Linked DNA regions of Canis lupus familiaris. The protein of the gene in region 1 interacts with the protein of each later gene in a pairwise test. Links are inferred from orthologs where the notes say so. Each region holds a gene or a part of one and is shown on either strand. Other genes may lie near its edges.

Evidence for each region.
Region 2: the proteins of TARBP2 (region 1) and TCEANC interact in binary tests that used the Homo sapiens proteins (3 or more experiments, as listed by UniProt). The two-hybrid records come from large-scale screens. The link is inferred for Canis lupus familiaris from reciprocal best matches to the Homo sapiens genes TARBP2 and TCEANC.
Region 3: the proteins of TARBP2 (region 1) and ZNF346 interact in binary tests that used the Homo sapiens proteins (3 or more experiments, as listed by UniProt). The two-hybrid records come from large-scale screens. The link is inferred for Canis lupus familiaris from reciprocal best matches to the Homo sapiens genes TARBP2 and ZNF346.

Annotation. Positions count from the first base shown.
Region 1 is NC_049248.1:44,930,965-44,934,712, forward strand, and holds the start of TARBP2 (RISC-loading complex subunit TARBP2), read left to right. Parts: upstream 1-1,014; 5' UTR 1,015-1,299; coding exon 1,300-1,352; intron 1,353-1,443; exon of another isoform or gene 1,444-1,601; intron 1,602-1,915; coding exon 1,916-2,085; intron 2,086-2,888; coding exon 2,889-2,991; intron 2,992-3,520; coding exon 3,521-3,616; intron 3,617-3,748. UniProt on the Homo sapiens protein: Required for formation of the RNA induced silencing complex (RISC). Component of the RISC loading complex (RLC), also known as the micro-RNA (miRNA) loading complex (miRLC), which is composed of DICER1, AGO2 and TARBP2.
Region 2 is NC_049260.1:10,120,656-10,124,163, reverse strand, and holds the end of TCEANC (transcription elongation factor A N-terminal and central domain-containing protein), read right to left. Parts: intron 1,691-3,508; 5' UTR 1,683-1,690; coding exon 636-1,682; 3' UTR 607-635; downstream 1-606.
Region 3 is NC_049225.1:37,188,176-37,191,923, forward strand, and holds the start of ZNF346 (zinc finger protein 346), read right to left. Parts: upstream 2,326-3,748; 5' UTR 2,279-2,325; coding exon 2,104-2,278; intron 1-2,103.

The DNA.
Region 1 (3,748 bases):
AGTGCCCGAGCTCCTCAGCGCCGTTCCGGGGCTCCCCCGGCTCTCCACTACCTGGCCCAGCCTCGGGACGCTCGTTAGAACCAGGCATTTTCGTGGTGTCTCGCCAAGGTCACGAGATTCTCCTACATCTTTGAACCCGGTGGCCGGGACACCCTAGGGAGGAGGGGCTGCAGCTCTGCACCCAGTTAGCGGGTTAGCGTTCAGAGGCCGGAGTCCTCTCCTGCTGTCTCTTCGGCCGAGAGACCCCAGACCCACAGCCGCGGGAACGAGACCACGGTGTGCGTGAGTCCTAATGCTGTCGCCCCTACAGCCCGATTCTCAGGCCCCAGAGAGGGTCCCGGGCCACCTACGGAGAGGTTCCCTGGGGACGGCCCAGCAAGGCTTTAGAGAAGACCTGAAACCAGACAGGCTGCGGGCCAGAACTAGGGGCAGGGAATGAAGGGCAACCCGGGAACACGAAGCAGGGGCTGTGAGACGAAGGCCCCGGGGCCGGGAGCGAGGAGGAACTGCGGGCCGCCGGCCGGCCGGCCCCAGCGCGGAGGGGCTCGAGCGCTCTCCTCCCGCGGCCAGGTGAGGCCACCCCCAGCCCGCGCCGAGCCAGGGTGCGACAGCCCCTCTTCCCTGGACCAATCGCAGCCTTTCCTCAACAAAGGGGCGGGGCCGAGGGGCTGCCTCGCTCCTGGCCCCGCCCCTCGAGGCTCAGTAACCAATCGCAACGTGCCTAGAGCGAGCCAGCGCAATCGGACACGACCAATCCTATCGCGGAGCTCTCCGCGCACGCCTGCGCCTGCCCCTGCGCGGCGACAAAGATGGCGCGCGAGCTGCCGGTCTCTGTAGTTTCCTCGGGAGCCTGCGGACCCGGCGCTCCGGTTAGGCCTTAGCGCCCCGCCCCCAGCCGCTTCCGCTCTGCTCCCGCGCATGCCCACTCCGGGGAGCGGAGACGCGGAAAAGAGGCGGGACGCTATTTAAAAAAAAAAAAAAATTCACACGCACAGACACACGGACACACGGACACAAAGCCACCCTCCGCTCGGGAGGCCACCGTGGAAGGCTCCGCTCCTCCCAGGAGGCGGTGCCGCATCCCCGGGCGACGCCCGCGGGGGCTTGTGGGGCGGGCGGCTCCCCTCCCGATGGAGACTCGGGGAGGCGGGTGGGCGGGGGACTCCATGTCCCGGCATGCCCCGCGGCGGGCCCGACCGGCCGCGACTCGGGGCTCGGCCCCGGCCCTAGCTCGTCGGCGGTGTTCTGGGGCGCGCGGAGGCTGCAGTCACGGTGGGGCCCGCGGGCACGGAGGTGGGAATGAGTGAAGAGGAGCAGGGCTCCGGCACCACCACGGGCTGCGGGCTGCCCAGGTGAGCCGCTTCGAGCCGACCCCTGCCGGGCGAGAAGCGTGGCGCGGCGCGGAGGTGGTAGCGGCGCGGCCCCAGCATGCACCTGGCCCGAGGGTTGTTCCCGGCAAGCACCGGGGTAGTGGGCCGTGGTTCCCGGCATGCACCCCGGCAGTGGCCACGGCCTCCTGCTCTAAATAGTTTGGGGTTGGCCCGGTTCCCAGACTGCACTTGGGGCACTGGGCTTTGTGCTCCCGACATTCAGTGCGTTTGGTGGGTACCGGGTCCCTGGGCTGCACTGTGTGGGGACATGCACCTCCTAACTGCACTGGGGTGCAGGATCCTCCTCCTGCTTAACTGAGACAGGAACAGTGCGTTGCCCGCGTGCTCTGGGGGCCGTGGACCCGGCTTCCAGCCCGCTTCTACTCCACACTGAACCCAGCCAATGTGTGCTGTACTGCCCGGGGTCCCCTGGACCCGTGTCCCCCCATAGTGTGCCTGGGTCTGATACGACAGTGCTTGGCCGGGTGGGCGCAGAGTTGGAGGTGTGATAAGGGTCCGTGACCCCCTGCCCCCGCCTCCCCCAGTATAGAGCAAATGCTGGCAGCCAACCCGGGCAAGACCCCGATCAGCCTTCTGCAGGAGTATGGGACCAGAATAGGGAAGACGCCCGTGTACGACCTTCTCAAAGCCGAGGGCCAAGCCCACCAGCCTAATTTCACCTTCCGGGTCACCGTTGGCGACACCAGCTGCACTGGTGAGGAAGGCTTGGGCAGCCTGGCTGGGGTGTGCATCCGCAGGGCCCTGGTGGCTTTGTGTCCTGGAGTCTCTCCCCAGTCCTTTGCTCCAAGGCCAGTGAGGGAAGGAGAGATTTCAGGGGGAAAAGCCACGGACTCGTTTGGGGGAACGGGTCTTTGAGGAGGCGGGTAGGACTCCGGAGAGTTAGAGGAGCAAGCAGGACCGCCAGAGGGGTCTGGCACATTGTCGTCATCCTAGAGGAGAAAGACGGGATGAACCAAACTCTCAGCGAAGTTTCGAAGGAGTGAGTGCCTGCTGCACTGGGCTCTGTTCCAGGTGCTTGACCAAATTCCTAGTTCGTCTTAAATCGCAGTCTAATCCAGGGATGTGGGGGATAGCACCTCCGAGCTGAATATGAGGGAGCCAAGGCTCGGGGTGGATGTGAGTGGTGCAAGGTCCCGGGCCTGAGAAGTGGCGGAGCGGGGCCTTGACTCCGGAGCCTGCCCTCTTTCTACTTTCCCAGACATCTCTATGTATTGAGAGAAAAGAAAGCACTTCCCAGAGGCAAGGAGAGCCGGGAAAGCGTCTCTGCCCAGGGTGTCTGAGCTCCAGAGCAGTCGTGCCTGGCGTGGCTTGATTTGGGGAGCTCTGGGGAGCAGAAGCCCTCCCTTCTAGTAATTAGCGCAGCACTTCCGGTCTTGGGCAGGGGCAGGTGGTGAGAGGGGCTTGGTTGACTCCCTCCAGCCCTGAGGAGAGAAGCTGTGGGTGCCGGCTTTTCTGTCCTCCTAGTGACCTCCAGTATCGCCCACGCCCCTCTCTCAGGTCAGGGCCCCAGCAAGAAGGCAGCCAAGCACAAGGCAGCTGAGGTGGCCCTCAAACACCTCAAAGGGGGGAGCATGCTGGAGCCGGCCCTGGAGGACAGCAGGTGAGGGAGGACCAGCCGAGGCCTCGTAGAGACCCGGCCAGGAACCCAGGCCCCTGCGCTACCTCCTCTGCCCACCTTGACCTGGCCGGACAGGGCGGGATGCTTCCAGGGCTCCCGCTGTTGTGAAGGATCCTGTGGGGGGATGTCAAGGGGCTGTGGCTGTGGTGTGGGCCCAGGCTAGGGAGGGAAAGGGGCGGAGGCTGAGGCTAGAGGGGTCGCACCCCAACACGCCTCCTCTCTCTAGCAGGTTGTCCTCCCCTCTTGCACACTTACATTGGGGTTTGTTGCCTCCGTGGCTCTTGTGTAGGAAGAGACCGTCTTTCCCCTTGTCTCAGTCGCTTTGATCCAGTGTTTGGCAGCAAAGGATCCCAGAAGGTGGTGGTTAAGCTTCCCTGAGTCTTTGGCTCCAGTGGGAAGGGGTTTTCTTAGGGGACGGGCAGGTCAGGAGGACCTGGGTCCCCACCCTCTACTCCCCACCCCACCCCTGCCCACATGGGTGTGAATCAAAGGCCCCCTTCCCCTCGGGAAGTTCTTTTTCTCCCCTAGACTCTTCACTGCCTGAGGACATTCCAGTTTTTACTGCTGCAGCGGCTGCTACTCCTGTTCCATCTGCTGTTCCAACCAGGTATCTTGTGTTCCTGCCTGCCTGAAGGGGGGAGGTAGGGGTCCCGGCTCCTGGCCCCCCAGCCTTTGGACCCAGGCTGGTCAGGCAGGAGGAAGTCTGAGAGTAAGCAGAGGATGGAATAGTTGGGGACCA
Region 2 (3,508 bases), on another chromosome or scaffold:
TCTCATAGGCAGCCGCCCAGGACTACAGGCCTACTGAGAAAGCAGCACTTCTCAAACCGTCTTGAACAGGATCACCTGGGGCTCTGCCAAAATGCAGAGTTGGGACTCAGGAGCACGAGGCCTGGGACTCTGCATTTATAACAGGCTCTAGGGCAGGAGGAGCTGCTCTCAGCCACACTCAGAGAACAGCAGAGTAATATGTGGCCACAAAACAAAAAGTCATCAACTCTCTCCCCAAACGGTCACATTTTAGTGATTGTGGTGTGAGCTTGAACGAATGACTTTCCTTCCTTCTTTGTAGGGTTGTTTTAAGAACAGTGTGTATTAGATTTTATTTTATTTATTATTTTTTAAATTTTTTAAAAAAGATTTTATTTATTTATTCATGAGAGACACAGAGAGAGAGAGAGAGAGGCAGAGACACAGGCAGAGGGAGAAGCAGGCTCCACGCAGGGAGTCCGATGTGGGACTCGACCCCGGGACTCCAGGATCATGCCCTGGGCTGAAGGCAGGGGCTAAACCGCTGAGCCACCCGGGCTTCCCCCCTGTATTAGATTTTAAAAGCAAGCATAACAGGGTGGTATCAAAAAAAAGGCATCACTCTGGTTCTTGGTTAAGAGAACATTTATTTACAATTATAAGCACACCCACTTGCTATGGTACCACTGCTCCCCACATTCATTACAGATCACATAGGTCATCATCTCCTCATCTGGATTTGAATTCCGTACCCAACTTGGAAGGAAAAGTGTGCCTCTGGCGATTACGGTGACCTTGCAATTGAACTTCTCACAGCGTCTGCATTTTATTTTTCTTGTGTGTGTGCCCTCGATCGCTTGGGGAAGGTGATGCTCCTGTATGCAAGATTCCGTGTAGGAGGCTCTCAACTGCTTCAGTTCCTTGTTTGCCATTTCCATCACAGTCATCTTGGCAAATTCTCTCGGAGACATGGTCCCAGAGAGCAGGTTTTGTTGTAAGTGAGAATTTTTGGGGTTCCTCAGATTGGCAACTTTGCTTCTCACACAAGTTTTGTATTTTTTGAGGTTCTTGGAATGAAGGGTAAAAATGTGCTCTTCAATTTCTCTTGCAAAGTTTCGCCACAAATCAGCTTTGGGCTGCTCTGTGAAAGGACTAGTTAAAGCTTCATAAAGAAGCTCTGTGCATTTAGCTCTCACAGGTACCATGGGATCCAGCAACTCACTGGATCTCTGGGCAGTGGATTTAGGGTCACCACTCCTGAAATGCTCCTCCTTAGGTTCCGTCTGACTTGTGCTATTTTCAGGCACAATCATTTCAAAGGCTTCTGCAACACTGTGGGATGAAGAATTAGAGCTGGAGCCGCCTGATAGCTCATCCTGACTTGGGTCATGAGAAAGTCTTGAGTTTTCTTCATTTCTACCCGTAGGGAAAGATTTGTCCCTCGGTTTGAAGTGGAGATCCTTTTTATAAAGAGCTTTCCATTCTGACAGCAAGTGCTTGGCTTTCTTTTTCAAAGCCACCGAGGGGCAGTGTTTGAGGACTCTGTACACAGCCCTGACCACAATGGTCTCCTGGAGATCTTCTTTCGTCACACACAGAGTCTCCAGGTCAGTAAGGTGGTTGCCAAGATCCTCAAAATTCCTTTTAGACAGCAGTTGCTCAATAAGGGAGGCGCTGGCAGCTATCTGGTTCTTGTCAGACATCTTTACAGCTGCAAGGAAAAGAGAAAAGAGGTTTCTGGTTTTTTCAAGCTTGTGTTTGCCAGTCAAACTTCCTGATAATAGCAGGGCACTTTCTGCCAACTACCTATGTGGTGTTTTCTGAAAGAGTTGTGTAACACAAGTGGGTGTGACCTGTTAGAAAATGGAATCTGCAATGTGGTATGGTTTAGTTTCAAAAGGCTGAGTCTCAGTAGTTGGAAAAAGAAAAAAAAAGCGGCACTGTAACCAGCTTCCGCATTAACGGTTGCTTAAAAGAAGCTTGTTGGAAGAGCTCTATAACTTTTTCCATCCCAAATTTTACAGATTAATAGTCTTTCTGGATCTAGATGGGTCAGTTGCTTTGGATGGAATTTGGTGGTCACATTGGGCATGAGATCATGCCAGTGTCAGCATCAACAGGGTAAGTGAGCAAGGCTGGCCCATTTCTTCCCATATTCAGTTATAAAGCTGAACTACTTGTGGATTTTATCATCTTTAATTGGTACTTTTCTGAATATACAAGAATGAGAAACAGGGCAATAAGGGGATGCTATTTAGATGTTCCAAGGAATGTGACAAAATCATGAGATAATAGAGGCTACAAAGCAGCTGGAGCCAGATCTGATAAGCCCGAAGAGCCAATAGGCACTGTGCTGACATCCGAGTCTTCTGAAAAACAGGGTAAGCATTCAGACTAAGCAATCTGGACATTTTATGACTTTGGACCAACTAGTCGTAGGCCAGTTTGGTTCCATTAACTTTTTTGTTTAGCTTCTAGGTGTAAAAAGTTGTTTGATGATTATATCTGTGTGAATCTCATCCCAGGCAGGTGTTTATCTAACCATTCTATTTTTCTCTCCTCATAATGTACATAACCTTGCTACCTAATACCCTTGTACCTACATCTGCTCATCTGGTCTAAAAATGGACATATGCATCTTGATGCCATGGACCGTGTCTTTTCAAAAACTCATGGGCTTCCATTTTATAGCACTTGATATTAAATGCCCATCACTGGGTCCCCTGGGTGGCTCAGTCGGTTGGGCATCTGACTCTTGGTTTTGGCTCAGGTCATGCATGGTCTCAGGGTCATGGGATAGAGCCCATCTTAGGCTCTGCCCTTAGTGAGGGAGTCTGCTGGACTCCCTCTCCCTCCCCCTTTGCCGCTTGCACATGCACTCTCTCTAAATACATAAATAAATAAAATCTTAAAAAAAAAAAAGCCCATCACTAAGCACATAGGCTAATAACACCGAAGGGAGCACAGAGAAGATCAATGCAGCCTTCTTATTTTTTATTTTTTAATGCAGCCTTCTTAGAAACCATATGACAAGTTCTGTAAAATGCAATGTTCTTTTAGTCAGCAATTCTACTTCTGTAAGTTTACATTAGGGAAACAAAAGATGTGGAAGCTGTACATGTAAGAATTTTCTTCAAACTTTGAAGCAACTGCAAGGTCCCAAATGGCTAAACTTGCACACAAAATGTGCACAGCAGCATTATTCTTAATAGCCAAAAAGTAGAAACAACCTGAATGTCTGTCAACTGATAGATAAACATGTAGCCTATCCATACAATAGAATGATATTTGGCCAAAAAAAAAAAAAAGAAATTCTGATATATACTACAACATGGATGAACCTCGAAAACACTATGTCAAAAACACAGAAGACCACATATTGTATGATTCCATTTATATGAAATGTCCAGAATTGGCAAATCTATAGAGATGGAAAATAGACTGGTAGTTGACTAGGACTGGGGCAGAGGGATGAGGGGGGCAGTGGGGTGGAATGAAAGGGGGGTGGCTGTCAACAAGTACAGAGTTT
Region 3 (3,748 bases), on another chromosome or scaffold:
TCTAAAACGCAATTCTGTACTTTTACTTAAAAAATCATTGCATTGTGCAGTTACAATGGGTGAATTTTATGGTATATAAATTATCAATAAAAGTTGCTAAGAGAGGGGATCCCTGGGTGGCTCAGTGGTTTGGCGCCTGCCTTTGGCCCAGGGCGCGATCCTGGAGTCCCGGGATCGAGTCCCACATCGAGCTCCCGACATGGAGCCTGCTTCTCCCTCTCTGTCTCTCTCTCTCATAAATAAATAAATGTTAAAAAAAAAAAAAAGTTGCTAAGAGAAAAACAAAACAAAGAGGAGTAGAACTTGGGGTTACAGGTATCTACTTAGGCCTCATATAATTATTGGAAAGTGAGGAGAGTAGGAAAAATGAGCTGGGTCCTAAGTGACACTGTACATTCATAGACACATAAGCAATTCACTTTTTAGAGCACAGCTGTTGTGTTCTCTGCTTCAAGATCAAGCGATCCCTTCTTATCCCTCAAGGACAAAGGTCACTCCCTCTTTGTGCACAACCAATTCTTATACATTCTTCTTCACTGCACCCATTACATTAAGCTGAAACTGTTTTGGTGTCTGCTTCCTGGACTAGAACTATAAAATCCCTTCAGGACAAGGACAGTATCTTCCTCATCTCTGTAGCTCTGATGCCCAGCCATCCTGGGTACTGAGCAGGTATCAATGAATGTTTGTCAAATTAGTGAAAGGAAAATTGGGGTGTGTTTGGGGGAGGATTTGTATCAAACAAGTTTGAAATTATGAGGCAGAAAGAGGGCCCATATTAATTTAGGAGTCAGACTAGACTAGTTTTTAAATTGGAGAAGCATACAAAAGGGCATAGGTCTGTGTACCACCCCAAATGTAAACATACCTTCCTTGGATGTGGCCAAAATTCCATTTTATTCCAGGGTAATCAGTTCACAAGCAATACATTAAACTTTCCAAGATTAGTCTGCTCACCAAGTAAACAAATTATCTGATTTCCCTATAGATTACTTGACAGGATTAGCACAGGCCAAACAGTTCTTGTACTTCTGGCTAAGAGTTAAGCAGCTAACTGCTAAGGACTATGAAAGAGGTCACACAACCAAGTCAGGCCAGCTTTTACCATCCTCCTCTATCTCCACTTTACCCAGTGCCAGGTCAAATGCAGAGCAAGCTGGGAAGCTTTCAGCCCAGAAGTGGCCTCTCCTGTATCCTGTTCTCCACAACTTTGGCACAAGCATGGGATACAAAGAAGCTGGAGCCAAAGTATACTCTGGCCAGTTTCTCAGTCTCCCGGCCCTCACCTCATAAAAAGGACCCAGGCAGTTGAGACCAGACACCTAGAAACAGGGGTAAATCAGGTTCAAGACACCAAGGCCAGGAGGAACATAGGGTTAAGAAGACCTTCTGGACGGGCAGCCCGGGTGGCTCAGCGGTTTAGTGCCGCCTGCAGCCCAAGGTGTGATCCTGGAGACCTGGGATCGAGTCCCACGTCGGGGTCCCTGCGTGGAGCCTGCTTCTCTCTCTACCCCTCTCTCTCTGTGTCTCTCATGAATAAATAAATCTTAAAAAAAAAAAAATCTTAAATGTTTAAAAAAAAAAAAAAGAAGACCTTCTGGAGTCCTTGGCAGTGTGGGGTATGAGAGAAAGGATGCAAAGGAGGCAAGGGACATAGGGGTGGGGGAACCTGTGGACTGGGACGATGGAGTCTGTGAGAAATGGTGGGGGGCTAGTAGTCTGGCGGGGAAGGCTCCGTGGGTCTCCGAGAAGGGATGGATAGGAATGAAAGTCGTTTAAGAAGAGTTGAAGAAGAGCTGCGCTCTGGTGGGTGAGAATGGAGGGACCGGAGTACGAGAGGGGCCTTGACCATTTAAGCCCGGAGACCTCATTCCTGTGGTGCTGCGGCCTCAATTTTCGGGGTGCCTGGCCCATGGTACCCAGGCCCTGCTGGGGTGCACGAGTCCAGGAGTCCCGGGGCGCGTCACGCAAGGGGGCGGGCCGGGCGCCAGGGGGTGTGACCGGAGACCCGGGGGCTGTCCGTGCTCCCGCCCCGCGCTCCCGCCCCTCCCCGTGAAATGAGCGGGCGGTTGAACTCGCTGCCTCTGAGGTCCCCGGACTCACCTTCCTCCCTCCCCACTGGTTGGGCCCCGGACACTGCTTCCCAGAGGCGGCGCGCCCTCTCGCGGTCGAAGCGCAGCCCGTCCGGTTCCCGTCCTTCTCGTTCCTCGGAGCTGTTGTATGGCCGGGCCCCTCCACTGTCCGCGGCCTCTACGGTGCCCAACCCGCGATACTCCATCTTTCCAGCAAGCCCTAACCGGCCGATAGTCACTCATAAACCTTGGTCTCGCGAGATGTGGGACGTTGCCCGGCCAACAAATCTCGCGAGGTTTGGGCTCTGCGGACCGCCTTGCGGTAGGGGGCCCACACGCTTCTCTTTGGTCGCTGCTGGGGGTTCTCGGAGTGTGTGCTGTGGAATTGAAAGTCAGTCTCTGGTTTAACAGCAGCCCCCTCCCTCTGGTACAGGTTCGTGCAGTCTTAAGCCAAAGGTTTTCACCTTGCTCACTGTCAGCCTTCAACACTTCTCATTTCATTCTCTTGAAGGCCCTTGTTATGTGGGAACACTTTCTCCATTTTACTTAGGGAAACTGAGGCCCAGAACCTAGAAATAGTCGACTCAACAGTTTGCTACCAGGATGTGGTAGAGTCAGGACTCCATCTGCATGATTGGTTTACTGCTGATAATAAATAATACCATTTGAGTTTCAAGTTCTAACTCCCAGAGCAGACCTCCCCCTTAAACTCTCCCAATGTGACTGTCGGATCCAAAATTTCATCTTCCATCCCCACAACTCCTCCTCCCCGAGTCTTGGGGAGCCATCATCTCTTGCCAAGGTTATTGTAGCGTCTTCACTGGTCCTTTCCCTTGCCCTTCAGGTATTCGAAGCACAGCAGCCCCAGCAATCCTCTTAAAACAAGCCGCATCATGATACCCTGATGCTCCTATTCTTCAACAGTTTACCATCTCGCTCTTGGTAAAAGCCAAAGTCTTAGTCTAGCCAAAGGGCTCTATACAGTCCAACTCCCCTAACCTCCCTGTCTCATCCTTTATTGTGTTACTCTCCAACACCTTCATTATTGTGCCAGTTACCATGACCTGGAATGCATTTCCCCCGTATATCCTCAGGGCTCAGCCTCTCATTTCATTCTCTGATTACCCTATCTAAAATTTAACACCTCCACACATATTTCATGTCCTTCTTTCCTGCTTTATTATTTTTTTCCTTCTTAACACTTAACATTATCAGATATAGTATGTTTTTACTTTTTAACCTTGTTTTTTCTTTGTTTCCCCACTAGTAGTCATACCCCAAGAAAGAGATTTTTGTCTATTTTGTTCTCAGTTGAATCCCCAGCATCTTGAAATAGAACCTGGGCTCTCATAGGTACATACAAAATATTTGTTGAATGAATGAAAATGAAACTTTTAATATAATTATCATATTTCAACTTCATTTATTCAAATGCTTATTGAGAGTTTACTATGAGTTAGATGTTATCTTGGGCATTGGAATACAGTTGTGGACAGGGAAGCTCTAGTATAGTGTTTTTTTTTTTTTTTTCTAGTGGAGGAGAGTGTAATAAGTCAACAGATAGTAATAAGTGCTAAGGAGAAAATAAAACAGGAATATATATTGGGTGAATGACGTGGAAGGAATATTACTCACTGAATAATAAAGCCTCTGAATAAATGACATTTTATCTAAGA